Caenorhabditis elegans: one gene and its partners. The protein of the gene in region 1 purifies or fractionates together with the protein of each later gene. This does not show direct contact. Each region holds a gene or a part of one and is shown in the gene's direction. Other genes may lie near its edges.

Region 1 (8,865 bases):
CGTGAATTAGAATAATGAGTGACTGAGAGAGAAAGAATGAGTGACTCAATCAATGACCGAACTAATTGCGAAACAGTGTGTTGCAATATGCTTCGAGGAAAAGCCTGGGAGAAGCATCGGAGGAGGTGGAGGAGGAAAAGGTAATTTGATGGGAAAGTGTTTTGGACGGCGCAAAAAGTGACAAAATGGTTTTTTGTGGCTTTATCAATAATCAAAGTGTTCGGGAAGTAGTGGAGGTGACCATGAATTGGTGAACGAGTTTTCCTTTTCCGCGGCCATGTAGCAAAACGAAAAGCTTTTCAGAAAAGGACATGGTACATCGAAAGAGTCTGATAGTTATACTTAATAAACTGGGTCATTGAAAATATCATTCCATGGAATTTGGAGACATGGCCTAGACCATTAAAGTTTTTGCAGTCAGTCGCCAAATTGATAAAGAGTTCGAAGTGGTCTTCTAAAACTAATTCAGAACGTCGAATCTTCACAATGTGACCTGGCATTCAAAAATTCAACTGGAAGAGTTTAGTTCGTAAAATATTTGAAAAATATCCTGACGTTTGAAAATCCATGTTGTGAAGCGGTGACCGAGAATCAGAAAATAAGGCCAGGAATTAAAATTTTGTCGGTTTTCGAGGTGGCCTAGAATCGGTAAGTTAGACAACTTTGTCATCCTTTGAAGTCCATTAAAGTGGAATGATAATACAATTCTGAAAATTGTTCAACTAAAACTAGCACTCTCACTCTCCGAAACCAAACGAAAATTTGCTAAAATAGGTTGAGTGGTGGCTGTAGGTCGGGTTATATTGAAAAGCAAAATGAGGATCTCTAGAGAGTAAGTAGCTGGATGACGACTGGGTGCGCGCCTAAAAACACAAGGTCAGATTTGAAGAAGTTTTGAGGATGAGTAAGAGGAAAAATGTGAAGAAGAAGAAAAGGAAGACGCCGACTAATTCATGTCGAGGACGATGATCTCGAAAGTACACTTTGAAAACTATTTCATTGAAATTCTGATCCGTTTCGGTTGAAAATTAGGAATAAATGGGAGGTTGGACCACGTGGCAATTTTCTGATAAACTAGGTATAAGAAACGAAATTGAAAAATATTTTCAAAATCTTCAATAAGTTCAGGCATTGCCAAAGAGACAAACCGAGATGGAGAAGCCAGTGGAAAGGGGTGTATGTGCGCAAGAAAGTACAATAACTCAGCGGGACGTTGCCAATATCCTCTTCTCTGAATATTATTATTTGCAGGAAAATGAAACGGTTTTCTATTCCGTTAGTTGGCAGAAAATTAGATTAATTTTATAATTTTCTTTTTTTCTGCCAATACAAAATTAGTGGATTTTCAAAACTTTGAAAATTAATATCTGGCTTCAAACTAACTTTTTCAAAAATTTCCATAGCCATTATGTTGCAAATTTTGTGTTCTTTCAGAATTTAAAAACGATATTCCAAAATCTTTCATACCCGCCGAATTCAAGCAGAAAATGTGCATTTTCAGTCATACCTTTTAGAGCACATTTTGAGATTGAATGGAATAGACAATTTATATGCAAAACTAGTAGATTTTCCAAACTTTGAAAATTAACAAGCCAATCTCAAATTGTGCTCTAAAAGGTATGACTGAAAATTCACTTTTTCTGCTTGAATTCGGCGGTTATGAACGTTTTTGGAACGCGGTTTTTTTAATTCTGAAAGAGCATTAAATTTGCAACAAAATGGCTACGGGAATTTCTGAAAAAGTTAATTTGAAGCCAGATATTAATTTTCAAAGTTTGGAAAATCTACTAATTTTGCATATGCCGTATATCTTCTATTAATATGGCCTCCCTATTAGACTTGCACTCCCTAATAGTATTGCAAGCGGGAAGACCATCGAAAAATAGTATTGCAGCCATATTAATAGAAGAAATACGGTAAATGGTCTATTCCATTCAGTCACAAATTGTGCTCTTAAATGTATGACTTTTTCTGCTTGAATTCGGCGGTCATAAAGATTTTTGGAATACAGTTTTTAAATTCTGAAAAAACTCAACATTTTACTCAAATGTTCAAACATTAAATAACTCTAGTTTGGTTCTATTTTCAGCATTTCGACCTTCTATTCTCGTCACAAGTGACCCAAAACTGAAATTCCCAAACTTTCCACGTCAAGAAACCTTCAATTTCCCAACCGTGAAAGTACGTCAAGAGGAATCGAATTATGTGCATATATATGTGTATGTGCTCACGGAGCCCAGCAGTTTTTCGAGTTGTCAATGGAGACATGCTCTCCTGTTCTCTGTGCTCTTGTGCTCTCCCACTTCCTCTCACTGAAAGAATTTCGACATGGAAACGTGCTTCTTCTCTGAATCTCTTTTTCTTTTGAAGAGTTTCTTGCTTCTTTTGTGCATTGATTCTTTTTGGCAAATTTCAAGGAATTTCTGAATTTTTGCAGAAATGAGATGACAGAGGAGGTTGGCCAGAAACTTTTAGAATCTCTATCATTATTCAAACTTGGTGATATTGGCTATGCACGGATTGAATGTGAGCTGCTAACTACGTTTCTGTGAGTTTTTGGTTTTCTGAGGGCACCTGGAAAGTATCGGCTGCTTGCTAATTTTACGACACCAGAAGGTGTCAGACGTTACCTTACAGCCGACAAATAATGGGTCAGAGCGCCTTTGGAGCTAACATTATTCGGCGTTTTATAGAACGTTTTTCATAAAATAAGCAGTCGACATATTACGGGGCTTTTATTTTGTCGATTGAATTTTAACCGCCAATATTTTATCGATGATTTTTCAGAGAAGAGCAGTTGGAAAACAACTTAGACAGTCTTTCAATCCACGAACTATCCACAAATCTAATTAGAAACCGGATATGTTGCAGGTAAGAGAACTCGTCTCGTGATGCATCGGCTCATCTCCACAATCCAGAATATTTTTCAAGCAGCCCACACACTACTGGATTATTAACCTGATGATCCCATATTGTGTCGGCCGCAATAACCATCTTAACATCCGACATTTTTCGATTTTAATTTTCAGAGAATTCATCGAAAGCCGGCCGGCCAAAAAATGGGTTTTTCTTATTTTTCGATTGGCGCGAACTTTGTTCAGGGACAAGACACGAATTGCGACGTTTCACTCGGTTAATCTACACTCGGAATTCGTTCAGGTATTTTGGAGAAACCTGACATATCAGACAAAATCTTACCGAAATTGCAAATTTCAGACGTTCCAATTCATTGCGTCCAGATTTCTTCGCAGTGAACACGACTGGAATGTCACTGTGGTTAACTGTTTGAGTATGTTCAATTTTCAGAGAATTTCAATAAATATTTTTTGTTTCAGATGTAACACAAAAACTAATCGATAACGGGGAGAATGCGCGCAAGTTCGTGGACTGTAATTTGGAAGACGCTGTCCTTGTGCTGCTTGCCACGCGGCAAATGACAGTGCTTCAGCATTCGTTGGAGGTTAGTTGGTGGCTGAAAAATCAATAAAATTAATAATCATTTTCAGATTCTCGGAAGACTCTCCGATTGGTCCACAACTTGTCGGGAGAATTTGTGTGAATCAAATACGATTGACGTGTGCCTTCAGCTCATACCAGATGGGGATATTTTAACGCAAAAGTAGGTGGCAGCAGACATTTCACGACTTATAGCAGCCGACATTTCTGGGGTCTAACATGACATAGCTAGCAACCTGCACTATAGGAGTATGAAACAACTAGCAGCCGATACATGACGGGATTTACATGAAAACCTAGCGGCGGACGTCTTACGGGATTTCAAGAGCAAAACTATGTAGTAGTCGATAATTTCTAGTAGCGCGTAACAAGTGACCGGCACCTCCTGGGGCATACCGAACAACTAGCCAACACTCTAGATAAATTTCGCCCGTAAAACGTCTGCTGCAACTCGATTTTTGAATTTTCAGACTCTGCATAAGCCTTCTTCGAATTCTATCCTGCGAAGAACAGGCCCGAGAACAAATCCGAATCTATGACGGTGTCCCAACTCTCCTCGGACTCCTTTCCATCAAAAATTCCCGTCTACAATGGCACGTGGCATGGACCTTAGCCCAACTTGCCGAGCAACATGAAACGTCCTTAGAAATAGCACAACTCGGCGGAATAAGTTTGATCTTTGCCGCCATTTCCAACCCAAAACCACCTGGAAAAGCTGTGGGGGACTGGGTGGCCATGCTCACAGGGCTCACGGCTCTTCTGGCTCAATTAGCGCAAGCGAGTAGTAATCAACAATTGATGTCTAACGCGAACGGAGTTTATATTTTGGGGAAATTATTGGCTATCAAGAAGAATGTTACTACAGATGAAACTATAGATTCTTGGGATTTACTCCAATGTTCGATCTTCCGGGTTCTACGGTTAATGTACACTTTTGAAAGATCCCGTCAGTTGCTGAAGAAGGTGTTACCCACAGAAATTTTCGAAAAATTTGTGGATGTTGGAAATTATAATAGTGTTCTTACGGATTACGATCAAATTGCCAAAATGTACGATAATCTTATTGTAAGTTTTTTGTAATTAAAATCTGAAACTTGGAAAAAAATTTCGAAATCTTGTTATTTTTGTTGGAAAATATGAAATCTCAATAAAAAAATCACAGAAATTTATAAATTTACAGGAAGAGAATATTGAAATAATGAAAGACTGGGAAACTGTAAATGAACGAAGACAGGCAGTTGGAGAAGTTGGCGAATACGAACTTCTTGATCAGCTGGGAGCCGGAGCATTCGGATGTGTGTACACAGTTCGAAAGAAGGCACAGAGTCATTCGGAAAACCCGGCTAAACTACTTGCACTCAAGGAGATATTCATGACGAATTTGAACGACAGGGAATCTGATAAAAGTTTTGGTGATATGATTAGTGAAGTGAAGATTATTAAACAACAGTTGAGGCATCCGAATATTGTTCGGTATCGGCGAATTTTCGTAGAGAATCATCGATTGTATATTGTGATGGATTTGATTCAAGGGTGCTCACTTCGTGACTTAATTATTACAATGAAGGAGAAGAAAGGAAATTTTGAAGAAAAAAAGATTTGGGCTATGGTTGTACAGGTAACTTTTTTATAATTATTTAATTTCTATAGCACCCAAAACATTGTGCATCGACTTGATTTTTTACATTTTTTTAGACTCAGATTGAAAATAGCTTTTAAATATTTATAAAAAATCTCATAAGCTTTTATAATCTTTCAGATGATGTTAGCCCTTCGCTATTTGCACAAAGAAAAGCAAATTGTACATCGAGACTTAAAGCCAAATAACATAATGATGACGACAGACGAGCGAGTGGTGATAACTGATTTTGGGCTGGCAAAGCAAAAAGGCCCAGAATATCTGAAATCGGCGGCGGGTACCATTATCTATAGTTGTCCGGAAATTGTACAGAATTTGCCATATGGAGAGAAAGCGGACATTTGGTCATTTGGTGAGTTCTTACTGTGGGGCTCATGTGCCCAAAAATTGCTGTGTTAACAGGGAAATCATACTAGTGTATTGGTAGCGTTGTAATATCTCAGGGTTACTGTTAACTAAGAGATACTATGGTCCAGTTACTAATCCATGAATGTTCAGGTTGCTGTATCTATGAAATGTGTCAACTCCAACCGGTATTTCATTCAACAAATATGCTAACTCTAGCCATGCAAATAGTCGAAGCAAAGTACGACCCGTTAAATGAAATGTGGAGTGACGATCTTCGATTTCTCATAACTTCCTGCCTGGCACCAGATCCTTCTGCCAGACCAGACATCTTGAAAGTATCTGGAATGTGCGGAGTCCGTCTTCTTGAATATCTTGACGATGTGGCACGTCAACAAGCAAGTACTTCAGATATGACTGCTTCACAATCTAGTTATAATATCAAAATCGATGAATCCCCATCCTCCCTGAATTCCTCCACAAGTTCCTATAAACGTCCTGGAAGGTCGTCAAAGACATCAGGGAGTGGAAAGCTGCCACCAATTAATCCAGCGCCACGTGAGTATTTTTCAAAAAAGCTGAAATTTTTGGGAGTTAGTTAAAACCTTGAAACTTCAAAATGAAACAAAAACGTTAATAATAAATTTTCAGAATTTTTTGATAAACACAATCTCAGATTTTTTTTAGTTCTAAATCTGAAATTTGGGAACGGCAAAAATGGAAATACTTGAGCTTTTTCTGCTCATATATTTTCATATAAACATTTTCTCAGGTCGGAATCACTCAATGTCAGCCGGGGAGACGCCACGTCCTTCCAGTATTGTATGCCTTCCACGCATCACTGACAAGTACAGTGTCATGTTTCCATCAGCTCCATCTGCAATTCCAAGTCGTCGTCGTGTTCAAACATGCTCTACTGAACATCCGGCTCGAAGCTCTTCCTCCACAGAGCTCAAAGTCTCAAAGCAATCCGATGGTCTGACAGTCAGTAGTAATGTACTCCGCCAGATTCAAGATCCAGTACTGACGATTTTGAATCAAATTCATCGAATACTAGTAGTAACTGATAAGGAAACAATTTCAACATCAATGAACCATCAAAGAAGACTTGTTGAAATGTTTCGAAAAAACTTGCTTGGGCGGGAAAATGATGCGGTTCAGATGAAAACTCACTTGAGAAAGTTGGCTGCCGAGTCACCAGAGGAAATTCAAATGAATTTGGGTTTCTCGGATTTTCGTCCGGTTTTGGTGCAATCTCATATTAATGGATATCAAAAAGGTTGGGGATTTGAAAAGTTATTTAAAAATATCTCAAAGATTTCAGACCAAAAAGTGACAAAAATCACGTACGAGCAATTGTCAGCGTGCATTGAATGTTTGATTGCAGAAAATCCAGCAGCGAAGTGACATATGCTAAATTGTATATACTGTTTTTTTGTATATTATTGATTGATTACTGTCATAATTTGTTTTAGTGGTGGAAGCATATTTAATGAAAATAAGGGAAAATCCAAGATGTGGGCGGAGCCTATTAGCAATAGTATTTCAATAGTACATCAGGTACCTTTCTTCATGCCTATCTATAAGTTTAAATAATACTTATTTTCTACATTTTGACATGATTCTCACAGTGCCGAAATAAAATGTTGTCAGGCCTAGGCCCCACACATTCCTTGTCTTTTGTTCTTTTTTTAGATTTTAACTGAAAAAAACTACTTTCAGGCGATGTTCCAGCAACTTTTAATGTTGATTTCTGATTGTGAATATTTTTTTGGTATTCTTGAACTATTCTTATTTTTTTTTTTTTCGTATTTTGATATTTCCCGTGTGATTTTTCAAATGAATTCACCCATTTCAACACTCTATCGTGAAATTTCACAAAAAAAACCGTCCCAAAAAACTCACAAAGGCAGGTGGATAAACAAATGGAAGAGACTTGCTCAGAGAGCCCCAAAGAGTCAAATATTATTTCATTTATTTGGCACAAACTGCTCAAACGTGTGCCTCCCCCCATCATGATTTGCTTGTTTTTTCTACTTTTGCAGATTTTTGTGATTTCAGGTAAATTGAGTTATTTGCTAAATCTCGATTTTCAGAAGAAAAAAATGTAAAAGAATCTCGGATCTCTAAAAATTGAAAAATATACCAGAACAAAAAATCTAAGTTTTTTTCTACAAAATCAATTTAAAAATTGATAACTAGAAAAATTGTTGAATAGTTAATAAAAACTAAAATAAGCCGAAATAAAATTAAATTTTTAAACCTTTTTAATTCACTTTATGTTCAAAAATACTTACTTTCTATAAAATTGAAAGCAAATTTTCCCGAACTACCAAAGACTGTTCGAGGTACAAAAGTTTTCAAACAACTTCGTACTGATTAATTTTTAAAAAGTTCAAAACTATAGAGAAAGCATCTCAAAATATGATTTTCAGTGGTTTCCCAATGCCCACCTGGTCTAACTCCCCTCTTTTCCAACTCCAACTTCAATCAACCACTGGTATTTTTTTCCAAATTTCAACTCTGTTGCAATTTTCTGTAATTGCAGACATGTACCCCACAGGACGCGTGCAGTTGTTATTCTTCGTCGGGATCTTCTCGTTTTGGGACAATATGTCAATATGCTAGTACCTACAATAACTACATATGTTGTTATTCGACAAATACACGTGAGTTTGGCTGCAATTTTAGTGTACACGGAATACGGTAGATTTCCTCTACAGTGATCCATTCACTTAAAGCACGGAGCCTCGATATTTGAAATCAATCTTCTATCCGAGCAATTTCACCAGTTCAACTTCCAAATTACATATCCCAAATATTTCCAGAATGTGGATCCAATTCAAGCCCCCAAGTGTCTGCATCTGGCCAAGTTGTGACCTGCTCTACAAACACACAGTGTGCGTCTGGATACACGTGTAACAATGGTGCCTGCTGTCCCAACACCAATTCTAGTAAGAATCTCATTTTCCTATTCCTACTTTCCAACTTCAACTTCAGATACCTGCAGTTCAAATGGAAACAATGGATGCTTGGCGGGTCAAACAATGGTCAATGGGCAGTGCTACAACTCGGTGAACATCGGATCTGCATGTCAGAGCACCCAGCAGTGTCTAGGAGGATCCCAGTGCCAGAACAACATTTGTCAATGTTACAGTGGTTATGTGAACGTCAATCAGCAATGCGTGATCAGTAACGGGCTGAATTGCCAACTCGGGACAGTGTCCTATAACTCTCAGTGTATAACTCTTGCATCGCCAGGACAAAATTGTCAGACCTCTTCTCAGTGTATTGACAACTCGGTGTGCATGAATCAGATGTGCACCTGTAATAATAATTAGTGAGTTTTGCAGTGTTCCGTAGATCGCTGATAATATCAAATATGATAAGGTGGCATGATATAATTTTTTTCGACTATGTGGAAA
Region 2 (7,543 bases), on another chromosome or scaffold:
ACCAAAAATAGTGACTCTGGCCGTTCTCCAAAAATAGTGACTCTGGCCGTTCACCAAAAATAGTGACTCTGGCCCTTCACCAAATTTAGTGACTCTGGCCGTTCACCAAAATCTATTTTTTGGTATGCCAATCTATTTTTTGGTATGTCAATCTATTTTTTGGTATGCCAATCTATTTTTTGGTATGCCAATCTGTTTTTTGGTATGCCAATCTATTTTTTGGTATGCCAATCTGTTTTTTGGTATGCCAATCTATTTTTTGGTATGTCAATCTATTTTTTGGTATGCCAATCTATTTTTTGGTATGTCAATCTATTTTTTGGTATGCCAATCTATTTTTTGGTATGTCAATCTATTTTTTGGTATGCCAATCTATTTTTTGGTATGCCAATCTGTTTTTTGGTATGCCAATCTATTTTTTGGTATGTCAATCTATTTTTTGGTATGCCAATCTATTTTTTGGTATGTCAATCTGTTTTTTGGTATGCCAATTTATTTTTTGGTATGTCAATCTTTTTTTTGGTATGCCAATCTATTTTTTGGTATGCCAATCTGTTTTTTGGTATGCCAATCTATTTTTTGGGTAACGCAGGATTCTAAATAGGATAAAACAAGTAAAAGGAGGGAAATACAATAAGGAACAATAGAAGATGGTATTAAATTTTGTTGGTGTTGGTGTAAAGACCCTCTCAATCAATACGAAGGTAAATGTGGGTCAATTCAGAAATATATAATTCAAATAGGGGTTTGAGATGTAATTCACGCTGGAAAATAATGCGTGTGGATATAGAAGGTGTGATATGTTGTGGATGTTGGTATTAATAAGGATTAGAAGTATTCTGATAAGAATAACGGCATCAACAACATATCATCAGCATCGTATTTCACCAATTCTGTAACAAACAAGTTGTTAACTCGCGGGTGGCGGTGAAGTTGGCACGGCGCCAAGTAGTTAGAGACGCAATGGGTCTCGCCGCGAAGGCGCTACCATAAGCTGGTGGCGCGCGGTTTGAATACAAATATATATATATATGGTGATTGATATCTTAGCGAATACTGAACGGATTTGAATGGAACAAAATGTAATAAAGAGATAATAATTGTACAACACAACAGTACGGATATTGGTTAAGAATAGTGGGCTATTCAATGGAAAACCATATATATTAGAGTACTGTAAAATTGTCGGGATAAACCTGTAAGGGGCAGAATCGACAACAAAACATTATTAAGGTTGTAAATCACAGAATTATAGATGTAGTGTCTTGTCACATTTACTTCACAAAAATTATATGTTTTGAGAAAGAATTCTTCAACAACATGCAAATCGTTTCATAAAACTACAAATGGCACAGGATTCTGGTTGGCAATTGAAAGATCTATTCAAATAAAATTATTTTAAAAAATGCTTGCTTTGAGAAAAAAATATATATATAACGGTTTGTCAAATTTTTTGAAGTTTTTAATTTCCGACATTAGAGGTGGAGTACCGAAATTTGAGAATTTGCTTTTTGGACCCGAAATGTTTCAAAACTACCGCATTTCGTAATGAGACGTTCTGAAAATTTCTCAAAAAAAAGTTATGGCCGCTAGTTACAATCGCTGAGACACTGAAAAATTGCCAAAATTTGAGATTTTAGCTAAAAATATACTGTTTTTTCCAAAACTTTGAGCGACCATAACTTTTTTTTTGAGAATTTTTCAGAACGTCTTATTACAAAATTTGGTAGCTTTGGAACATTTCGGGTCCAAAAAAAACTAAGTCTCAAATTTCGATAGCCCACCTTCAAATAAAAAATATAAAATTTCAGTGTTCCTATATTCCTTGAAAATTGTTATTTATGTACTTTTTGGAGTTCTAAAATGTGGGGAATTTTTAATTTTTTTTTTTAAATCATTGAAGTAGATTATTGAAGTAAATAAATTTTGCAATAGCTAAATGCCAAAGGTTGAAACTTTCTTGTGTCAGGATATTTGGTTCCTTCTCATTAATCTAGCTTTATTTCAAGTTTTAATCATGAAGCAGAAATGTCCTAGCGAACTCATTTTCTGGTTGTTAACAGAATAACAAAAAACAGTTCTATAATTGAATAGATCACCAAATAAAAGCCAAAAAACTTTATTGCAGAATTACAAAAAATGTTTGGTTTTGTGGGTTCTATAAAAAATGTGCAATGTTTCTCAAACCTTGATTATTCAACTGCGGTAGGGTTTAAAAACTAGACCCAGATTTTGTTGACGCGCTAAACTTCACGTAATTTTTTTGAACTCAGATGCTAAGTAATGTTAAATTCTTTTAAAAAATGAGACTAAAATAAACAAAGTATTAAAATGTATTAGGGTGAATTGAAATTAAAGTTTCAAGTTGGGCCCAGGGGAACAGATAGCTCAGTCGGTAGTGGTGGCCGCTAGCAATCTGGAGGTCAAGAGTTCAAGTCCGACCTCACTCCCTAAGTTCTTCCAGTTTCACCACCCAGCTTATTTTCGGAAGTGGAGCAATCCACGACTGGATTATCGGCCACAGTCCCCGGCTAGGACGCGGCTTAAATTATAGTCCAGTGGAATCACCAGCAAGCAGTGCATCTGAATCCCAGGTCCGCAGTGCATAGCACTTGAAGAACGGATCGTCCTTAAATCCTTTCGTTTTAAACTCCATATTTTAGTGTTTTCCCACCTACATAAACACTACGTCATTTTAACACATCTAGTTTTAAATTGATGACATTTTCAAAAAATTATTGTACCATCTCTTGATCAAATTTCTCATATCTCTGCTAGTTGTTTTACATAGTTCAACTGTTCGTTCTTGTGATATTCGATGGTTCAAATATCACAGTGATCTACTTTTCTCCAGAGACAAAGTGAACTGACTAATATAGTGATAATAATTCAAAATTCGTGCGATTTCTAAATTGGAAACTCAAAGTCACAATTCTGTTGTGAGCCACCAGTCTATCAATGTGACTTTTGATGTCAGTTGAAAATCAGTTGACTATCTGATGGCGATAATGATAATTGTTTAGGTTTTGTGCGATATCTCATTAGAGAAGTCACGTTAATGCTATATGCGTACGAGCCCCCTCATTTTGATGTTGAAGCCTATGATTTTAGAAAGCAGAGTTGTCTTGTTGTCCTCCCCCTTTTGCAGACCAAATCCGTCTTATTTCCTCTCATTCAAAATGTTTGTTTCTTGATCTTAGTCTCTAGTAATCTCCTTCTTGATCCGCTTCAACAATTCTACATTATCATTGGGCTCAGACGTTGTTTTGACTGACTAGTTCACATGTTGTTTCTCACGTACCTACAAAACATTTCGACCATGTTTACTCTCACGGACATTGTCTCACGTGATTCGAAATCAAAACAAATTGCGCTTTCAGGGTTGAGCTCAATAAATGTCCTGCAGTCTTTTTCCCTTTGAAGATTCATCGACCGATCACAGAAAACGATCCAATTCGGAGTCTTCCAAACTCAGAGTGTCCAACATGATTTCGGATATGCAGAAAATGTCAATGATGTCGGGAAATAAAGGTTAGTTCTGTCACAAATTGTTAAACAATTTCATCTGATAAAGTTGTATTAGGAAAGTTTTTTTTAGGATTTTGTAAATTCCTGAACTTACTCCGCCTCAGTCCTTATTGAAATTTTTTTTTTCAATAAGTAATCCCTATATTTGAAAGGTTAATTTTTATATAAAACCGTGGGAACTTTTGTCTGATTCTCAGACCTAAAAAAGCGTAATTTCTAAATTTAAAGATGAAAATAAATATGACTTTTAATCTGAATAGTTGAATAAATTTTTAAAAAAAGTAAATCATATTTTAATATATCTAGCAATGTTCAAAGTTTGTCGTTGAGAAATTTCTTTAGAAACATAATTTTATTACGAAAACAGTTCAATTTCCGTCCTCACGTGGTGTCAAAGTGTTCCATTTTGGTTTGATCTTCAAAAAATGCAGACTTTTCCACTAATTTCGCAGAGTTTGCTGACGTCACACTTTCCTCGGGGAAAAATTCCCGCATTTTTTGTAGATCAAACCACAATTTGACACTCTGACACCACGTGTGTCCTTCATTCAAAAAAACTTTCTGCTAGATACATTTTAAGTTCCGAGCGCTAAATTCAACAAAAGAAGGCCTTCAACAATATAATTCTTTCACGATTTATCACCAAACTTATTACAGTTTCCCGTTATAGTTTAGGTTTTTAGTTATCTTTTTAATCTAGCAGTTTCCTATATTATGTTGTTGAAACTCTTTGGATTACGGTAGGATAATCTGAAACTACAAATAATGGTCTAAAAACATCAAAAACAAATACCTTCAGCTAATCCATTCTGAGATTAACATTATTTCAGAAACGGCTAAGGTGGTTGCTCGGACGGATTATGGCACAATTGTTATAGACAACGATATTTTGAAACTAGCAAAAAATGCAAAGCAAAAAGAGCACGAATTCCGAGCACCGTTCCTTCCCAGTTCATTTGAAAGCCAGAACTATTCGGTTCTCTCTACATCTCTCCCACTGAAAAATCCGGCAAACATACAAAAAAGAAACATCACAGAGGAGATTGATCATTCTCAAAAGCGGCAAAAATTTGAATCTGAACCGGTTGACTACATTCTGAAAGCATTACCATCAAACTTGCGAAACACCGACTGCCAGGGGGCTCTAATGCAGTTGTTATACGGAACAAGCATGCCGGTTCTTCCACCATTACGCTCGTCTGTCAAACCACAAGTAACAGAAAAAACGGCAGATGACAAACCACCGTATCTCGCTGGTCCATTCACTAACGAACTGAGACTTGAAAATATTAATCAGTTTTCACCAGAACCCATGCCTCAACTATTCAGAGAAGAGCCAACAACGTCAGAGCAGTCTGCTTCAATAAAAGATTGCATACTAAAATCAACAAGAAGCTATCAGAAACAAGCCACAAAAGACATTGAGGACAAGAGGACCATTTTTAATGCATTGTATAAAAAATGTGAAGAAGATCAAGTCGCTTTCAGGATACAAAATGAAACTACAGCATTATTGGATAATATACCAAATTTTGTCAATGGTATTCCGAACGATTTCTGCTTGCAAAGCGGGATTAATACTGCTAATGGTAAATTTATTAATTATGTGTATTTACATATGTAGCTTGTATTGGTATAACAAAAATGTAGATGATACCCATTTATAAATAATTTTCTGTTTAAAACTGGACTTTGGTCTGTGGAGAGATAATTGAACGCATTTTTATAGTGCTAAAATGACTAAAAATTGTAATAATCTTATTTTAATTTTTACTTTTTTTAAGTACATATTATATCATAAAATATCATAAAATAGGGTTTTAATCATTTCCCGACAGGCCGTGTTCTAGTTTAACTAAAAAAACGCTAGTTTACTGTATGTGAAAACGGCGCGGCGTCGGCGCGGCGTCGGCGCGGCGTCGGCGCCTCACGCCGGCCAGTCTACTCCTGTCGCCGCAATGTACATTTTGGCGTGAACTCCGGTGTCTGCGTAGTGATCAATTAACGACTGCACACCGTAGTTTTGCGCAACGCTGTTTTGCGCAACGTGGTGTGAAAAGCAGTTCTTCGGAAGCCTCCGACAGATTCGGGGTTCCGCGCCGCACTATACAAGCCGATTCATTGCGACGTTAGTGGCGGCGTAAGGTTGTTTGAAGCGCCTCACCGGCCGGCGAAGACGACAAATCGGCGCCGAGATGGAAGCCCTAGCATGCTCTATATTTTGTAAAATTCACTTATTTTGCATCATTTGCATAATTGAGACGATTTAAGTCATTCCAAATTAACCGATTCGGAGTAAATTTTTGAAAAATTTTTTCAGCCTGACTAATAATCTACAAAATGGACCAACATTTCAAAATACTCAGTCAAGCAAGAGTTATAGTTTAAAATGTCAATTTTGTGCTTAGACTGTGTACTAGAATTTTCCAATCATTAAAAATTTGTTTGCCTAACCCATTTTCTATAGTTTCAGCAGCACCAGCCGTGACTCAATTGCCTCAATTTCACATTCCAATTCCAACAATGAATTTGCACAACTTATCAACCAATACTCTCCCAGATCTAACAACATTCGACCCAGCTTTACTAAATCTACTTTTAGCACAATTAACGGCTCAGAATATTGCACCGCTTCCTGTGGTTGCTCCAAATTTGGAGCTGGCGCAACAATTGCTCTTTCAGTTACCTACACCAGCGACAGGTTTGACTGAAATATGCCAATTGCATTGATAACTTGTGTTTTCAGCAAATCCAGCCCCTTTTCCAGATGTGAGCATCTTACTTAACAGCCAATTCAGCCAAACTCCGTATTCATTTCTATAAGCATGTTTAAGCAGGATTTTTCTGATTTGAAGTACATATTAGCTTCCAACAACATCCTAGATCTCAGTTTTCAGCAATCTCTACACCATAGTTTTAATTCAATAACTTCATTGTACTTTCCCAATTATTTCCGTGAATAATTGTACGTTTTTAAACAATTATATACTCGCCATGCCACGTGTTGTTTTATGAAACATTGTGATTTGAGATTTATTTTGTGATTGAAAAATTTCCATTTTCATTTTAAAATAGATAAAATTGTATTTTTAAATGTTTGAAATGTATTTATTAAAGTTGATGGAATTTCACGTTATTTTATCAATTGAAACCGGTAGATCGATTTTGAAACGACACACTTTTTTCAGAAGCTTTTTATGATTATAAATCGCGACAGTAAAATGTTTGAGTTTTGAAACTTTGTGAATTTTTATGTTCCTCTTGAAAAATGATTTCTATTAAAGGTGGTGTAGTCCAATTTTTTATTGCTTTCATTAGACTGAAAATTGTCTGAAAACACCGAATTTTGTAATGAAACTTCTTGAAAACTTCTCAAAAAAAAGTTATGACGGCTCGAAAAAATGGCCTAAAATTAGTTAAAATTTGAAATTTGACCGGCTTGTCAAAGTTGCAGCAGCTGGAAACAATGAAACCACCGTCAAATTTTAGTTTTAATAATCAGGTATCTTGCGTGTTTTCAAATGATTTAGGTATTTTAAAATCTATGGACGAAAACATTTGGTAAAAATTTCAAAAAATCTTTTTTTGTGAGCAGATTTGAAGTTAAAATGTATCTTAAACGTCACTACTTTCATGAATTTATTTTCGTAAAACCGAAATTCATCAGACAAAACTCAGAAGCCCAAAGTGACATCATTCTACTCTATTTCCGTTTCAAAACATCATAACAAATTTGATTAGATATTTTAAAATACGTTTCAACAACATTTTGCTCTCAGACTAATGCTGATCTTTTGCGAATTCCAAAAACTAGGGTCTCTGATTACACATTACATGCCTATAATAACCTGTTTCTCTCTGTTTCCATAGAGATTCAGCATGATTTGCGCAAAAAGTACAAAGTTCTGCTCGGATGGAGCTCGAAATGGCAAATGCCTTGCTTTTCCGCTTTCGTGGCACCAAAGTTTTGAAGTTTTGAAATTTAGAAATCTACGGTTTTTCAATCAAAATCTCT
Region 3 (7,274 bases), 2.9 Mb from region 1:
TCTTGCTGAAAGCTTCTTCATTGCCGCTTTTCAGAATGGAAATTTGAGCACGATGAAGGCTCAGTATACGACGAAGTTAGTACTGAAAATTAGAAAAATCGATTTTTGTTCGAGTTTTTTGAGACGAAAATCCTGAAATTAATCTAAATTTCGTTGTTTTTCAGGTAGAAACACCAAAAATCAGTCGATGTTTAAGATTTTCCTTTCAAAAATTCACCGAAAATGAAAAAAGATTGATTTGCCACCAAATACCTAACGAGACCCGACTCTTGGGGGCGGATTTTTATGGAAAATTTACGATAAAATCGAAATATTTTCCAAATGTTTTGAACTCAAAATCCTGAGAATGCGTATTGCACAACACATTTGACGCGCAAAATATCTCGCAGCGAAAACTACAGTAATGACTACTGTAGGTGTCGATTTACGGGGCTTGGCGGCAGCTCGTAAATCCACACTTACAGTAGTGATTACTGTAGTTTTCGCTGCGAGATATTTTACGCGTCAAATGTGTTGTGCAGAATATCTCGCAGCGAAAACTACAGTAATGACTACCGTGTTCAAAAAAACAAAAAATTGGGAAAATAACTTGATCTTTCCTGGAAAACACTGAAAAATCGTATATTTTCCAGAAAAATACGCTCCGCCCCCAACAGGCGGGTCTCGTTAGGTATTTGTAGACAAAACTTTAAATTCAAATGTTTTTGTCACGTTTTTCATTAGTTTAATAAATTTTTATGCCGAAATTTATAAAATAACATAAGTTCGACGAAAAAATCAATAAAATCGATGGAAAATTGAAAATTTTCCTAACGAGACCCAACTGTTGGGGGCGGAGCGTTACCAATTGTCCGTGGAGCGCGTTTTCACGTCGATTTCAAAAGGAATTTCAATTTTTTTCCAGAGACGGAGCTCTTCGAGTCATTCGACCGCTGGTGATGGTTCGCGAGAAGGCTCTACGAAATTTCGCCGAGGATAAAAGTATTTTCAGCGATTTTTTTTTTGAATTTATCTCCAAATAAATAATTTTCCAGAACTCCCAGTTGTCGCGGAAAACTGCCCGGCATGCTTCAACCAGGCCACCGAACGTCACCGTGTCAAGCAGCTCCTGGCTCAGCAGGAGCTCATCTTCCCCGACTTGTTTAATTCACTGAGATCTGCTCTGAAACCACTGCTTTTGGTGGGTGATTTATGGGTTTTCAAGCTCTAGTAACGCGGGATGTCCCTTGAAATGGCAGAGTTTTGGGAAGCTCGGCCGCGACGCAGCAGCGCGCGGAGCGGCTCAGGCAAAAACGTTGATTCTGTTTTTTTTTCTACCAGAAAATGATAAAATCAATGTGTTCGTCTGAGCCGCTCCGCATGCAGCTGCGTCGCGGCCGAGCTTCCCAAGCTGAAAACTCTTCCATTTAAATATAAGAGGGACTCTGAGCCCCCTTGAGCTCTTTTTTTCAAATCTAATAAATGTTTTCCAGGTTGATTCGGCGCACACCAGCGTGATGCGGAGCCAGGCGGTGCATAATATTGTGAAGGAAATGTCATAGGGAATTTTTCCTATAAAAATTAAAATTTTCCTATTAAAAAAAATATTTAAATATTTTTCTTGTTGTTAAATGTTAATCGTAATTCGTCCTTGAGCGTTTGAATGTTTTTTTGATGTTTTGGTTTGTTGAATAAAAACTTTCAAAAATAAAACCGACAACTGACACATTGATGAAAAAGTGAGTAAAAAGTTAGTCAGCTGTTCCATCGGAAGCCGGCTCAAAGCTCTCAAGCTCCAAAGCTCCAAAGCTCCGAGCCAGTCTGCCGCCGGAATGCGGATCGCCTTGATTTTCCTCGTTCTCCTCGTTTCCTTCGCCTCGTCATGCAAGAATTTCGATAAATATATGAATATGTTCTGCCGTTACGGCTTGGAGCAATCCCCATGCACTGTTGAGGATTGTAAGTTTTTTTATTTATTGATTTTTTGTGTTTTGTTTCAAAAGATTCATAATTAATTTCAGATAGCACCTACAAATCCGCGTGCTGTGCCATGAAGAACAACTGCTCGTACAAGGAATTCCCGAAGGATGATGTCTGCTGCTTCACTGTTGAGTGCCTCAAGAGATGCTTCCCGGAGAAGCTGCTCAAGAACGATAAAGTCTATTAAATAATTGGATTTTGATGTTTTAATTTTTTTCCAATAAAGCCAATTTTTTAGACTAAATTTTCGGCGATTTTCTTCTTTTTTGAGATAATTTTTCAAATTTCGCGCGGGAAAAGTGATTTTGCGCCACTTTTTGAGCCTCTGCGGCCATAATCGAAGACTTTCAAAAAAACGAGTTTCTCCACTTTTTGACTCGAAATAAAGCGTTTTCCGAAACATTTTGAACGTTTTATTAAATATGATTTTTGGTCATTTTGACAGTGTTTGAATTGTTTTTCCGTTGTTAAAGGAAAAATGACACGATTTCCCATAAAAACCCTTTAAAAACAAGCAAATTTGAGTTTTTTTGAACGTTTTCTCCATAAATTTCGATAAAAAACCGAAAATTCCGTCTGAAAAGTTGTAAAATGTGTTCCAGAAAAAAACAAAAAATTGTTTTTTCAGAAATCTGTGCAATATTGCGTGAGGGTGTTTGCACAAGTGTCGTCAAATCGGGTGTTTTCTATTTTCGTTTTGTTTATTGAAAAATTTTCGCTCACTGAAAACGGGTTTTCTCTGCGAAACCTGAATTTTTCCTCGTTTGTTCAATTAAAAATTGATTATTTAAATTTCAGAGCATGTCAGAGCTATCAGATGAAGAAATTTCCTTGCAAGCGCTTTACGATCCGAGCAAAAAGGTGATCGGCGATATTGAAGATGGGATTTTTTCCACCCCGGAGCTCCAACCTCGCATCAAAACGGGAATTGATAATCTCCAGTTGGTCACGAAGCTTGTGAATCAGATGAGATTGTTTTCGTCGAATGAGCAGGTTTTTTATCGAAAAAAAAAAAGATTATTTCTGAAATTAAATGATTTTTTTTCAGATTGAAGACGTTCCAACAAACTCGCTGCCCTATCTCCTTGTCCCATGTTTTTTGGGAATTCTCCACCAAAATTTGATGACTGAGCCCGGCCTGAAGCTCGACGAACTGAGAAAATCCAAAATTTATATGCGAAATTTTCTGGATCGCCTCCGAGATTTGTGCCTGATCACCACCAGATTACCATGGGAAGATGAGGATACAGAAGAGCAAAATTTAAAGGAGAAGCCGAAGCTTGCAGTTGAAGAGATCAGAAGATTGAAGTTGGAGCGTCACAAGAAGAAGCAAGAGCTCAAAATGGCGGAGCTCAGGATCCAAAAGCAGCTGGAAGCCGTTTCAATTGATGAGCAGAATCTCAGAGAGCTCTATATTACTCAGTTATTGTTCTGGAGTGAAAGATGTTACGAGGAGTTGCAGGCGATTGATGGTGTGTAGAATATCGCCTAGTTTCCATGGAAAAATTATTTTTAAAAATCACGAAAAATCGGAATTAATGTGATTTTCTGGCAGAAAAACGCAATGTTATCATATTTTTTTTCTGAGAACTCGAAGAAAACTGGAATTTTTGCTTGAAAAATCGTTTTGTTGCTCTAAAAATGCTCAAAATGGCTTCGAAATGCCGAATTTCATGGAAAATAAGGAGAAAAATGGCTAAATTTAGCTAAACTTCCGGATTTCGCACATTTTTTCATTAATTTAACGATGTTTCCAGACGAATGGTAACCAAAACACAGAAAAACAGCAAATATGTTCAAATTATGATCTTTTATTCGAGAAAAAAACTATTTTTCTGTGCGACGCTGCTTTTTAAAGATTTTTTGTAATTTTTTTAAACTATTATTTTAAAAAATCGAAAAATTCAATTTTCAGGGTCATTTTGAGGCTCTAAGAGCTATAAAATTCGTTTTTACCCACAGACAATTAAAAAAAAAGCAAAAAAAGGAAAAATAATAATTAACTCATTTTTTAAATTTTTGCAAAACTCCTTTAAAATTAGAAAGTTGTAAAAAAAATTTCGAATTTTCAATTATTCAAAAATTGGAAAAAAATTAGACAATTAACAGGAAAATTCATTTCTTTTATCAAATCTGGTTTATTTTGATTTGAAAAATCAGAAAATATATAGTTTTCTTCTACAAACAAAAAAATGATCAAATCACGACCAAATCGGAGATTTCCGCTAAATTTTGGACTTTTTTCTTGTTTGTAGAAAAAAAAGATATATTTTCTAAAGTTTTTCATCAAAATAAATCTAAATTTTTTTTTCGATTTTTGAATTAAAAAAATTAATTATTCAAAAATCGAAAAAAAAATTTATTTTGATGAAAAACTTCAGAAAATATATCATTTTTTTTCTACAAACAAGAAAAAAGTCCAAAATTTAGCTAAAATCTCCGATTTGGTCGTATTTTGGTCATTTTTTTGTTTGTAGAAGAAAACTATATATTTTCTGATTTTTCAAATCAAAATAAACCACATTTGATAAAAGAAATGAATTTTCCTGTTAATTGTCTAATTTTTTTCCAATTTTTGAATAATTGAAAATTCGAAATTTTTTTAAACAAAAAAATAAAAAAAATTTAAATAATAAGTTAATTATTATTTTTATTTTTTGCAAATTTTTTAATTTTCTGTCAGTAAAAAAGTTTTTTAATAGTTTTTAGAGCCTCAAAATGACCCTGAAAAATTGAATTTTTCGAGTTTTGAATAATTTTCAGTTCTTCATGGCCAAGCCTTTTAAGCCTTTTAGAGCAGAAAGCGACGTTTTTAAAAACGGAAAACAATTTTCAGACGAGCTTCCACTGCTGAAAATGATGGCTGAACGAGCATCTCACCCACATCGTCATCCAGCTCCACCACCAGCAACAAAGACAGTTCCAACACTTAAACCCTTCATTATTACCAGAGATGCTCAACAGAAGCAGGTCTTTGGGCTCGGATATCCAGGAATTCCAGCGATGAGTGTCGATGAATGGTATCATCAGAAATTCGGTCATAATCCACAAAATGCTCCACAATCGTCGGCTCCAGCCGGGGCAGAAGCTCAAGAATCCGAAGAAGAGGTTGATGATGACGAGGCGAGAGCGAAGGCGATGCGTTGGGATGAATATAAGGATGATCATCGACGTGGATGGGGAAATATGCACAATAAAGGATAAATTATATTGTAGATCTCTACTTTTACGCGGGATTCCTAGCTCCCGCATGTGTCGATTTACGCGGCTTGTGTACTTCACGAGGAGAAGGCGAAAAATTTTGAAAAATCTGCATTTTTTGAATGGAAAAATTGCAGAATTGGCAATTTTCGGCGGATTATTTTGAGAATTAAAAAAAAATTGCAGTTTTTATGGGAAAAAATTTTTTGATAAAATTATTGAAAATTTTTTCCGCGAAAATCTGCAATTATCCGTTTTTTACGATATTTTTCTAGAAAAAAATCAATAAAATTGCGGTTTTCTGGAAATTTCAAAAAATTCCAGGTTTTTCGAAAATTTTGAAAAATAAATTATTCAAATAGAGATATTTCAGATATTTCTTTCAAAAAACTTGAAAATTTGCGTTTTTTTGAAAATTCTGAAAAAATTCAATAAAACCGCGGTGTTCTCTTTGAAATTCTCAAAAATCACTGGTTTTTTTTTGGGAAAATTCAAAAAATTGAGGATTTTTCACTAAGAAGTCTCAAAAAAAAATTCGCCGAATTTCCTGAAAATTCTCAAAATTTTCCATAAAAATTGCGGATTTTAGCAAGAGTTTTTTTCAAAAAAAAAATCGGATTTTTCCAAAAAAAAGTTCCCTTCACTTCGGGGAGTTCACGAGCCGCGTAAATCGACATTTTTATACGGCGTCTTATTTTCGTTTCGAATAAATGTGAAACTGTAAATAATTATATTTTATTATATTTTTTTTTGCATTTTTAAAGGGTTTTTACCTTTTTTATACATAAGTTCCAAAATATTTTTCAGATTTTCAGAAAAAAAAAATTTCAGAATGGCATTCCGTAAGCGTCGTCACGATTCGGAAGGAGATTCCGATGAAGAGAGACTTCCGATCAATAAAGATGAAGATGAGGATCTGAAAGCTGTAAGGAGCACGATTTTTGGCTGAAAATCGGGGATTTTCTACCTTGAAAATGAAAAAATTGGCAAAAACTAACCATTTTCGTAACAAATTTCGATTTTTGATTAAAAAAAAACCGAAAAAATCAAGAAAAAGTTTCACAATTCGGATTTTCTCTTAAAAAAAACTATTTTTGACGAAATTTTGAAACTTTTTTGTAAAAAATTCAATAAAACAAGATTTTAAGCACTTTTTTCGGATTTTTCAGAAAATAAAAATTTTTTAGAACAGTTTCTTTTCAGAAAAAATCAAAACTTTTTTTTTTCAATTTTTAATCGAAAAATCGGCAAAAAGCTACTTTTGTCTTCAAAATTCTGAGAAAATATCCATTTTTTACATTCTTACTCAATTTTTTGAAAAAAAAAAAGATTTTTCTTAAAAAATGTATTTCCGATAAAATTTTAGCAATTTTCCTCAATTTTTTTGGCGATTTTTCGATTAAAAACTTGAAAAAATTCGAAAAAAGCGCTTAAAAACTAGCTTTATTGAATTTCACTCAAAAAAAAACTGAAAAAAAGAGTTATACAAATAACAGGAACTGAAGAGTAAAATAAAAAAACATTCTATTAAAAAAAACCGGTTTTAATTATTTTTTTCTCAATGTTTTAATTAATAAATTGATAATTTTGATTTAGTGTTAAAAATAATCAAAAATCTAATTTTCGGTCTATTTTCTAATTTTTTTGAGAGAAATTTCTACTTTGAAAAAATTATTTTCAAATTTTCAAAGCTTAAGTTTCTCTCAAAAATTAAGAAAATAGACCGAAAATTTGATTTTTTTTAAAGCTAAATCAGAAATTATCAATTTATTAATTAAAAAATCGGAAAAAAATTAATTTCATTTTTTAAATAGAAAATACGATTAATATAATTTTTTGAAACAAAGAAAAATACCCGAAAATTGTAAATAATTATTGAAAAATATTAAAAAAATTTCCAGGAACCGGCAAAAAAGTCGAAAAACATGTGGTCAGATATGTTGCTCGAGGAGCAACTTCTCGAAAAAGGTCAACAAATTAATTTGGATCGAACATCAAGAAAGCAGCCAAATGTTTCACGTGGTCCTGAATCTTATTTGATGCCACAGGACGAATTTCAGCGGAAACAATCGAGAAATGCTAATCAAAAGAAAAAGAATGAGGTGTTCGATGTG
Region 4 (6,037 bases), on another chromosome or scaffold:
ATGTAGACTTTACGAAAGGGCGCTGCTCTTGGTTGACTCATTAGTGTTTTGAATACGCGTGTAATGCGACGTTGTCACCTGATTCAGGCTGACATATGACATAATATCTTCACTCCTATTCGATCATTTATCATTTTCAGGTGACATACAAATGGAGGGCAGTAGCCCAATTGCTCCCCACCGTGGTTTCAACAGAAAAGCGCGAGTTACTCTTCTCGATAAGACTGAAATCGACAGAGGTATAGTTTTTTCTATGTTTTTTGTTATTTCCAATTTCCGTCTCCTACTTTTCGTGAAATATCACCATGTACATTCTCCCACGCTAATTAGACGGTTTCAATGAGAAGATAGGAAAATATAGGGGAAGAGACAGCTCGCTGCCTTCACAACTGCTTGTTTGTTTCTTCTAACAGAATATCACATAGGTTTTCTCTTTTATTTTTCATTATTTAGCTTTTTTCTTCAGAATTAAAGGTGAAATACCAAAATCTTAGCCTATTTTAAACTCCACGTTAGCTCAAAACTACCGAGTTTGGCAATGAGACGTTCTGGAAATTTTTTTAAAAAAGTTTTGGCAGTTCACAGTTTTAGAAAAAAATTGAGCGATTAGTTGAAAACCTGCCTTTTCCAAAACTTTGAACCGACAAAATTTACACCAAAAAATGATTTTCGAAATGTTTCCTTACGAAATTAGGTATTAAGGGGCGATTTTGGGTCTAAAAGTCTAAAGTCTCAGATTTCGGTACTCTAAGGCTCCGTACCGTTAAACCTCTAAATTTGATAGTATCAAACTCACAAATGTGTCAGATGTTTTGACTCAATTTTTTTGTTCAATTCAATTTCCTGTTTTATTTCCGGTTCTTAAAACACCACGAAGCAATTCAAAATCAAAACGGAAATCTTCTTTTTTTTTCCACCCTCACATGTTACTTGGTGATTATTAGCAAGGAAAACTATCAAGATGTCTGAACCGCGCTATATTCGTTTTCCATGTTTTTAAGTGATTAACTTTTTAGCTAACCAGGAGCTTCATTTCAACTATTCCTAGTGATATTTGTGATATTTTCAGTGATGCCAAAGTCTTCGAGCGAGTTCGACATTCGCAAGAAACTCAACAGCATGGCGAGCCGTAAGAAGGACAGCAGCGATAGCTCTCCGAAAAGCCAGTGCTCAGTGAGCTCAATTCCTGAGCATCGTAAGTGATCCGCACACAATGTTAGCAGCCAACCGAGACTTGGAAATTCTATTTCAGCTACTTTCGATAGTATCGGTGAGCGTCCAAACGTGAAGAAACATATGAAACTTGGAGATCTTGGAAAAACTCGTTCATGCGTTGAGCTGAAAACTAACGATAAACGACTTTTACGCACGTTCCAAGAGGACAACATAATCAAGATGCCAAGCATGGATTCAGATATTGGGGACGATCATGTCACTGGTGTCAATGATCTATGCCTCAGTTTTGAAGGTCTCGGAAAGGTAATAGCAAACACTTGTGACGTAGAATGTTATAGAATATTAGTATATTAGTATCGTCTGAGAAAATTTTCACATTTTTTCTTCACTAATCTTTTCACAGCGGATTATGAAATTCGTCTTATTTTCCAGTCTCTCATATACTCCCAATCTGACGACAACAACTCCAATGACGTCAAGAGCAAAAAAGCAAAGAATTGAACTGAGAATGCTGACGGATGTTCAACGTCGCCCTAACTTTTTGTGATTCTATTCATTAAATGACGACTATTTTTCTCATGGAATACCTTATAATATTTTGATTTAAAAACTTTAAAGCAACTAATTAGAATAAAACCGCCAGAATGAATATACCGAATCTCACAAATACAATTTCCCATCGGTTATAAAACCTGTCTTTTTAGTTATATTTTTTATCTATCAATTTTAAATGTACCTAGGTCAACAAAAAAAAATCCACATTCAAAAGTAGAGCAAAACAACATTAACATAATATAGCAAGAACATCTTGATCAGTTACTCTTACTCTAAAAACTAGAAGACTACAAAAGACTACATATAATGATACTAACAGAATGCATCTATTGAATTGAATTGAATTGAATTTATTACGATTGAAATCGTGATAATAAACATAATAAACATACGATAATGAACATACAGAAAAATAATAAACATACAGAAAATGAATTATCATCTGAAAAGTTGATTAGTTGGTACATGTATTGATACATGGTACATGGTATTGATTCTTAATAAAAAAAAAGTCTGCAAAAATTCACATAACAGGAGATTTTATGAGTCTCTAACCTAGTTTAACAAAATCAGCGAAAAAAATTTCAAATCCTTTGTTCAAGCTGAATGCGTTCCTCTGCTGCTAAAATTCTTGTAGGCTCCTAATTTAAAGGCCCTTTTTTCAAATATTTTTGTTTTTAATCTTCTCCAAATGAAAAATATGTTTCTCTAAATTTTTTGTATGTTATTTGCTCACGAAGTATTTTCTAACAAGGTTCTCATGATTCAAAATGTACCCCATATGATCGCATTCTCATTCGCTTTCATCATCAAACGATGAGACAAATTAGAAAGTTATGCAGTCGGTGTCTCATTTTTCGCGGTCGCGCGATAAGGAAAAACCGAAAGTGTTCAAGAGGAGAAATGATTCCATGATGAAATGACCCCGAAAAAAGAAAAGCCTAATCGCGCCTTATCGAGTTTTACCCACTGACCTATATCCGCTGCTTATAAGTATCCGGATGGAATGCAGCTTCACTAGAACTTTTTTCTCCACATTTCCTTTTCTTATTTTCCCATCATGCGGGATTTCTACGACGTCGCCGTTGCGTCGATCGTCCTATCGACGTTTACGTTGGTGGTTGCTGTTTTCTCAGTGCCAATGCTCTTCCATAAATCGGATAACGTACTCCTCGAGATTTCTTCGTTTTCTGACGGAATAAAGGTAACGCACTTTTTTTTGTTCGTGTGAATATGCTCAATCAACTTGTTATTTGCAGGCTAAATCCGATCTCGTTTGGAATGAATTGATGGAGATTAAACAGGGTGACGCAGTTCCGGGAATTCAATATTTCTCGAGAAAAGCGAGAAGCAACTGGATGGGTGGAGCATTCTGTAAAGGATGCTTTTTACTATCATGCCCACAAGGACCACCTGGACCACCAGGAGCACCAGGACCAGACGGTCAGCCAGGAGATGCCGGAAGACAAGGACGTTCAGGAGATGATGGATTTGACATTCAGCCAGAATCGGAGCCAGAACTTCCTTGCGTCATTTGTCCGGCTGGACCACCGGGACCACGTGGTGCTCAAGGAGAACGTGGTATGACTGGAAATCCAGGAATGGCTGGAATGCAGGGAACTATTGGAATGGAAGGTGTTGATGGAGGACCAGGCCTGCCCGGACCACCTGGACCAAAGGGAGAACGTGGACCACTTGGACCATATGGTCCACCAGGAGACACCGTTGTTGCTGGAGTCGGAATTAAGGGTCCACTCGGACCACCAGGACCACAGGGAATGAAAGGACCACCAGGGCCATCAGGAAAAGGATCAAATCAACCAGGACAACCAGGTCAGCCAGGAGATATCGGAGGCATTGGAAAGACAGGAAAGATGGGTGGATATGGAATGGAAGGTCCAGCAGGTCCACCAGGAGATCCTGGAATGCCAGCCTCATACTGTCCATCTGACTGCGGAGTTCAACCGATTCTCACTGAAATGTTCCCAACACCATTCACCCCAACTGCCGGATATTCTAACATGCAAAGACCAGCTGCTCCATCTCGTCCACTTGCTCACCCAGAATACGCTGACGGATCTGCTCCAGCTCACCTTCCACATTCTGGAGCTTCTGATTCTGCCGCTGCTTCTGAGGTAGATGCTCCAGCACCACATCAACATCGCAAAAGCCATCGTCTTAGACCTTCCCATCAGCAACAATATGGAGATGAGCAGTGAGTTGAATGATAACACCTCTAGAAAGTTTGTAATGTAAATTTTCAGAAATAACGCTGTCGCCGACGCCGGCCGCTCAGTAAATGCTCCAGAATACGGAGACGGATCTGCCCCATCCCACATGCCAAGTCACAGAGCACATCATCATCCAAATTCAGCTTCTCAAAACTATGTTGACCCAGAAAGGTATGGTGAAAAAATTCAAAATGTGTGTACTTACTGTTAAGTTTTTGAAATTTAAGAGGATCTGATACTGCTGCCGCCGATGCCTACGCTAACCGAATGCATGATTTCCAAGATTTCGAGAGGAAATGGCGCAAGAAGTTGCTTCAAAGAAGACTCAGAATGATGAAGAGACAATAGGTTGATAATTAGATTTTATAAAATAATGCAAATTTTATTATGAAGTTGAACATTTTCGTTCCATTGTTGAAAAAAAAAATTATTGAAAAGTCACACAGTCCAAAATATCAAAACACTGCGAGCTTTCTCACGTATATTTGAGCAGACAAGTTGTCTTGTGGAGCATTTCGTTTCGCTGGTTGTACTTTGTTCTTCTCCTCTAGCTGACCGTTAAATGGTTTGGAATATCTCGATGATTTCTCGGAAAGTTGTGAGCAATGTCGCTTGGATGCTGGCTCGCCTTCTGCATAAACTGAAAATATCAAGATTTAATTAAAAGTTTTAGTGAACAAGTGACAACCTCTTTTTGATAAACGTTCGTTATTTCTGCTGTCCATGGAGTTATTTACACCTCTGAAACATTTTATTTGGTTTTTCCGGAAAGATTGTAATGATCTTTAGAGAACTGATTGGAGTGGTGTCATTGAGATTTCTGTTAAAGCATACAAAAAATCTTTATTCAGAACAAACAATTTTGAGAAATTTTTATTATTATTGTATGCTTTCATTTGCTTTCAAAAATCAAAATACTAATATATTAAAACATTACTATTAAGATAAAAAACTTGTAGAAACTGTTTTGTTCGGCTTCCAAAGTTACAATTGATAAAAACTTGAAGTTTTAGTTATTGCCATTGTTCAACCATATTGTTTTCCTACCAAAAATAGTCAATTACGGTTTAAAAGTAGTACGAAATTGGTAGGTTGTAGAGAAAGAAAACGATGGTTTTGACAGAAAAGAAAGAAGAAGCAAGTGTGGGAAGGAAGAACGGAAATTATGAAAAAAATATAGATTGATTGTTGAGAAACTGTCTCGCGGCAAATCAAAATTGTTGGTTGCGGTGAAAGTACAAATCTTGAATTCCATGAGGCTATCGGGATGAAAATATTGCATGGGGTGCAATAAGGAAATTAAAACAGTAATAGTATTTTGTTATTTATTGGTTTTGCCTATATTGGTTGTAGATACATCAGTTCAAAATTCTTTCGGTAAGTCCTTCAAGTTCCGCGAACAGAGCCAATGTTTTCTAACAAGTTTAAAAGTGATTAAAGTATTATAAAATCTCGAAGTTTTTCTGGAAGCACAGTTTTAATTATTTTCTTCATTCAATTTTCAGTTTTTCGTAAACAGTTTTCAAAGTGCTAACAATTCGAAAATTTGTAAGAAAGTTCATTCCCATCGAAATCGTTAAAATCAAACATGATAAAAGTCATACAGTGAAAAGAGAGAAAGTGAATCAGTATCTGCGGGATTATCATTTCTAGATGATTGCGGAAAGACGAATGACCATCTCAATTATCAATGGTATTGGGAATTTTGAACATACTCTTGAAATTGGTTTAAGAACGACTTCAGATAACTGGAAAAGTCTTGAACGACTGAAAATTGCCTCAGCTTTAACGTTAAGTTTGGTATCATGTTTCCTATCAGAATTTTCCAGATCAGAATTTTTGAAAAAAAAACTAATTGTAAATACGAAACCTACTGTTGCAAATTGAATGAACGAAGTATGTAATTCTATCCAACATTGTGTTTTTGGAGACTTTACAAGTTTCACAAAGAGCCATAACTCTAACACTACAAAATTTAAAAAAAAACGTTTAATTACAATAATGTTCCGCAGTGTTGTTTATATGCATGTGCGTAAAAAATGTCCTCATGCAATGGTGACTAGAAATATAGTGGC

What was found.
Region 2: the proteins of nekl-4 (region 1) and Y7A5A.7 fractionate together in Caenorhabditis elegans (co-fractionation; one large-scale study listed by BioGRID). This does not show direct contact.
Region 3: the proteins of nekl-4 (region 1) and ppfr-4 fractionate together in Caenorhabditis elegans (co-fractionation; one large-scale study listed by BioGRID). This does not show direct contact.
Region 4: the proteins of nekl-4 (region 1) and dpy-8 fractionate together in Caenorhabditis elegans (co-fractionation; one large-scale study listed by BioGRID). This does not show direct contact.

Annotation. Positions count from the first base shown.
Region 1 is NC_003281.10:5,511,103-5,519,967, reverse strand, and holds nekl-4 (Serine/threonine-protein kinase D1044.8), read left to right. Parts: upstream 1-2,444; coding exon 2,445-2,548; intron 2,549-2,787; coding exon 2,788-2,871; intron 2,872-3,029; coding exon 3,030-3,289; intron 3,290-3,335; coding exon 3,336-3,460; intron 3,461-3,506; coding exon 3,507-3,619; exon of another isoform or gene 3,620-3,851; intron 3,852-3,926; coding exon 3,927-4,521; intron 4,522-4,636; coding exon 4,637-5,074; intron 5,075-5,215; coding exon 5,216-5,447; intron 5,448-5,593; coding exon 5,594-5,998; intron 5,999-6,212; coding exon 6,213-6,719; intron 6,720-6,764; coding exon 6,765-6,847; 3' UTR 6,848-7,056; downstream 7,057-8,865. Other genes in the region: pqn-25 (Prion-like-(Q/N-rich) domain-bearing protein 25), read left to right, coding at 7,366-7,501, 7,876-7,940, 7,989-8,109, 8,269-8,394, 8,441-8,780.
Region 2 is NC_003284.9:15,800,025-15,807,567, reverse strand, and holds Y7A5A.7 (PPP1R35_C domain-containing protein), read left to right. Parts: upstream 1-3,395; coding exon 3,396-3,531; intron 3,532-4,358; coding exon 4,359-5,117; intron 5,118-6,001; coding exon 6,002-6,258; downstream 6,259-7,543.
Region 3 is NC_003281.10:2,617,179-2,624,452, forward strand, and holds ppfr-4 (Serine/threonine-protein phosphatase 4 regulatory subunit ppfr-4), read left to right. Parts: upstream 1-2,757; 5' UTR 2,758-2,760; coding exon 2,761-2,952; intron 2,953-3,007; coding exon 3,008-3,431; intron 3,432-4,795; coding exon 4,796-5,163; 3' UTR 5,164-5,531; downstream 5,532-7,274. Other genes in the region: Y71H2B.5 (Aminotran_5 domain-containing protein), read left to right, coding at 1-75, 905-981, 1,035-1,180, 1,473-1,541; Y71H2B.4 (Lipoprotein), read left to right, coding at 1,812-1,938, 2,001-2,146; Y71H2B.2 (Phosphorylated adapter RNA export protein), read left to right, coding at 5,993-6,085, 7,062-7,271. UniProt on the Caenorhabditis elegans protein: Probable regulatory subunit of serine/threonine-protein phosphatase PP4 which may play a role in meiosis and embryonic mitosis.
Region 4 is NC_003284.9:5,147,187-5,153,223, reverse strand, and holds dpy-8 (Nematode cuticle collagen N-terminal domain-containing protein), read left to right. Parts: upstream 1-2,747; 5' UTR 2,748-2,791; coding exon 2,792-2,935; intron 2,936-2,990; coding exon 2,991-3,946; intron 3,947-3,995; coding exon 3,996-4,133; intron 4,134-4,189; coding exon 4,190-4,310; 3' UTR 4,311-4,417; downstream 4,418-6,037. Other genes in the region: C31H2.3 (uncharacterized protein), read left to right, coding at 152-239, 1,070-1,195, 1,253-1,479, 1,609-1,677; C31H2.14 (Ovule protein), read right to left, coding at 4,418-4,602, 4,651-4,687.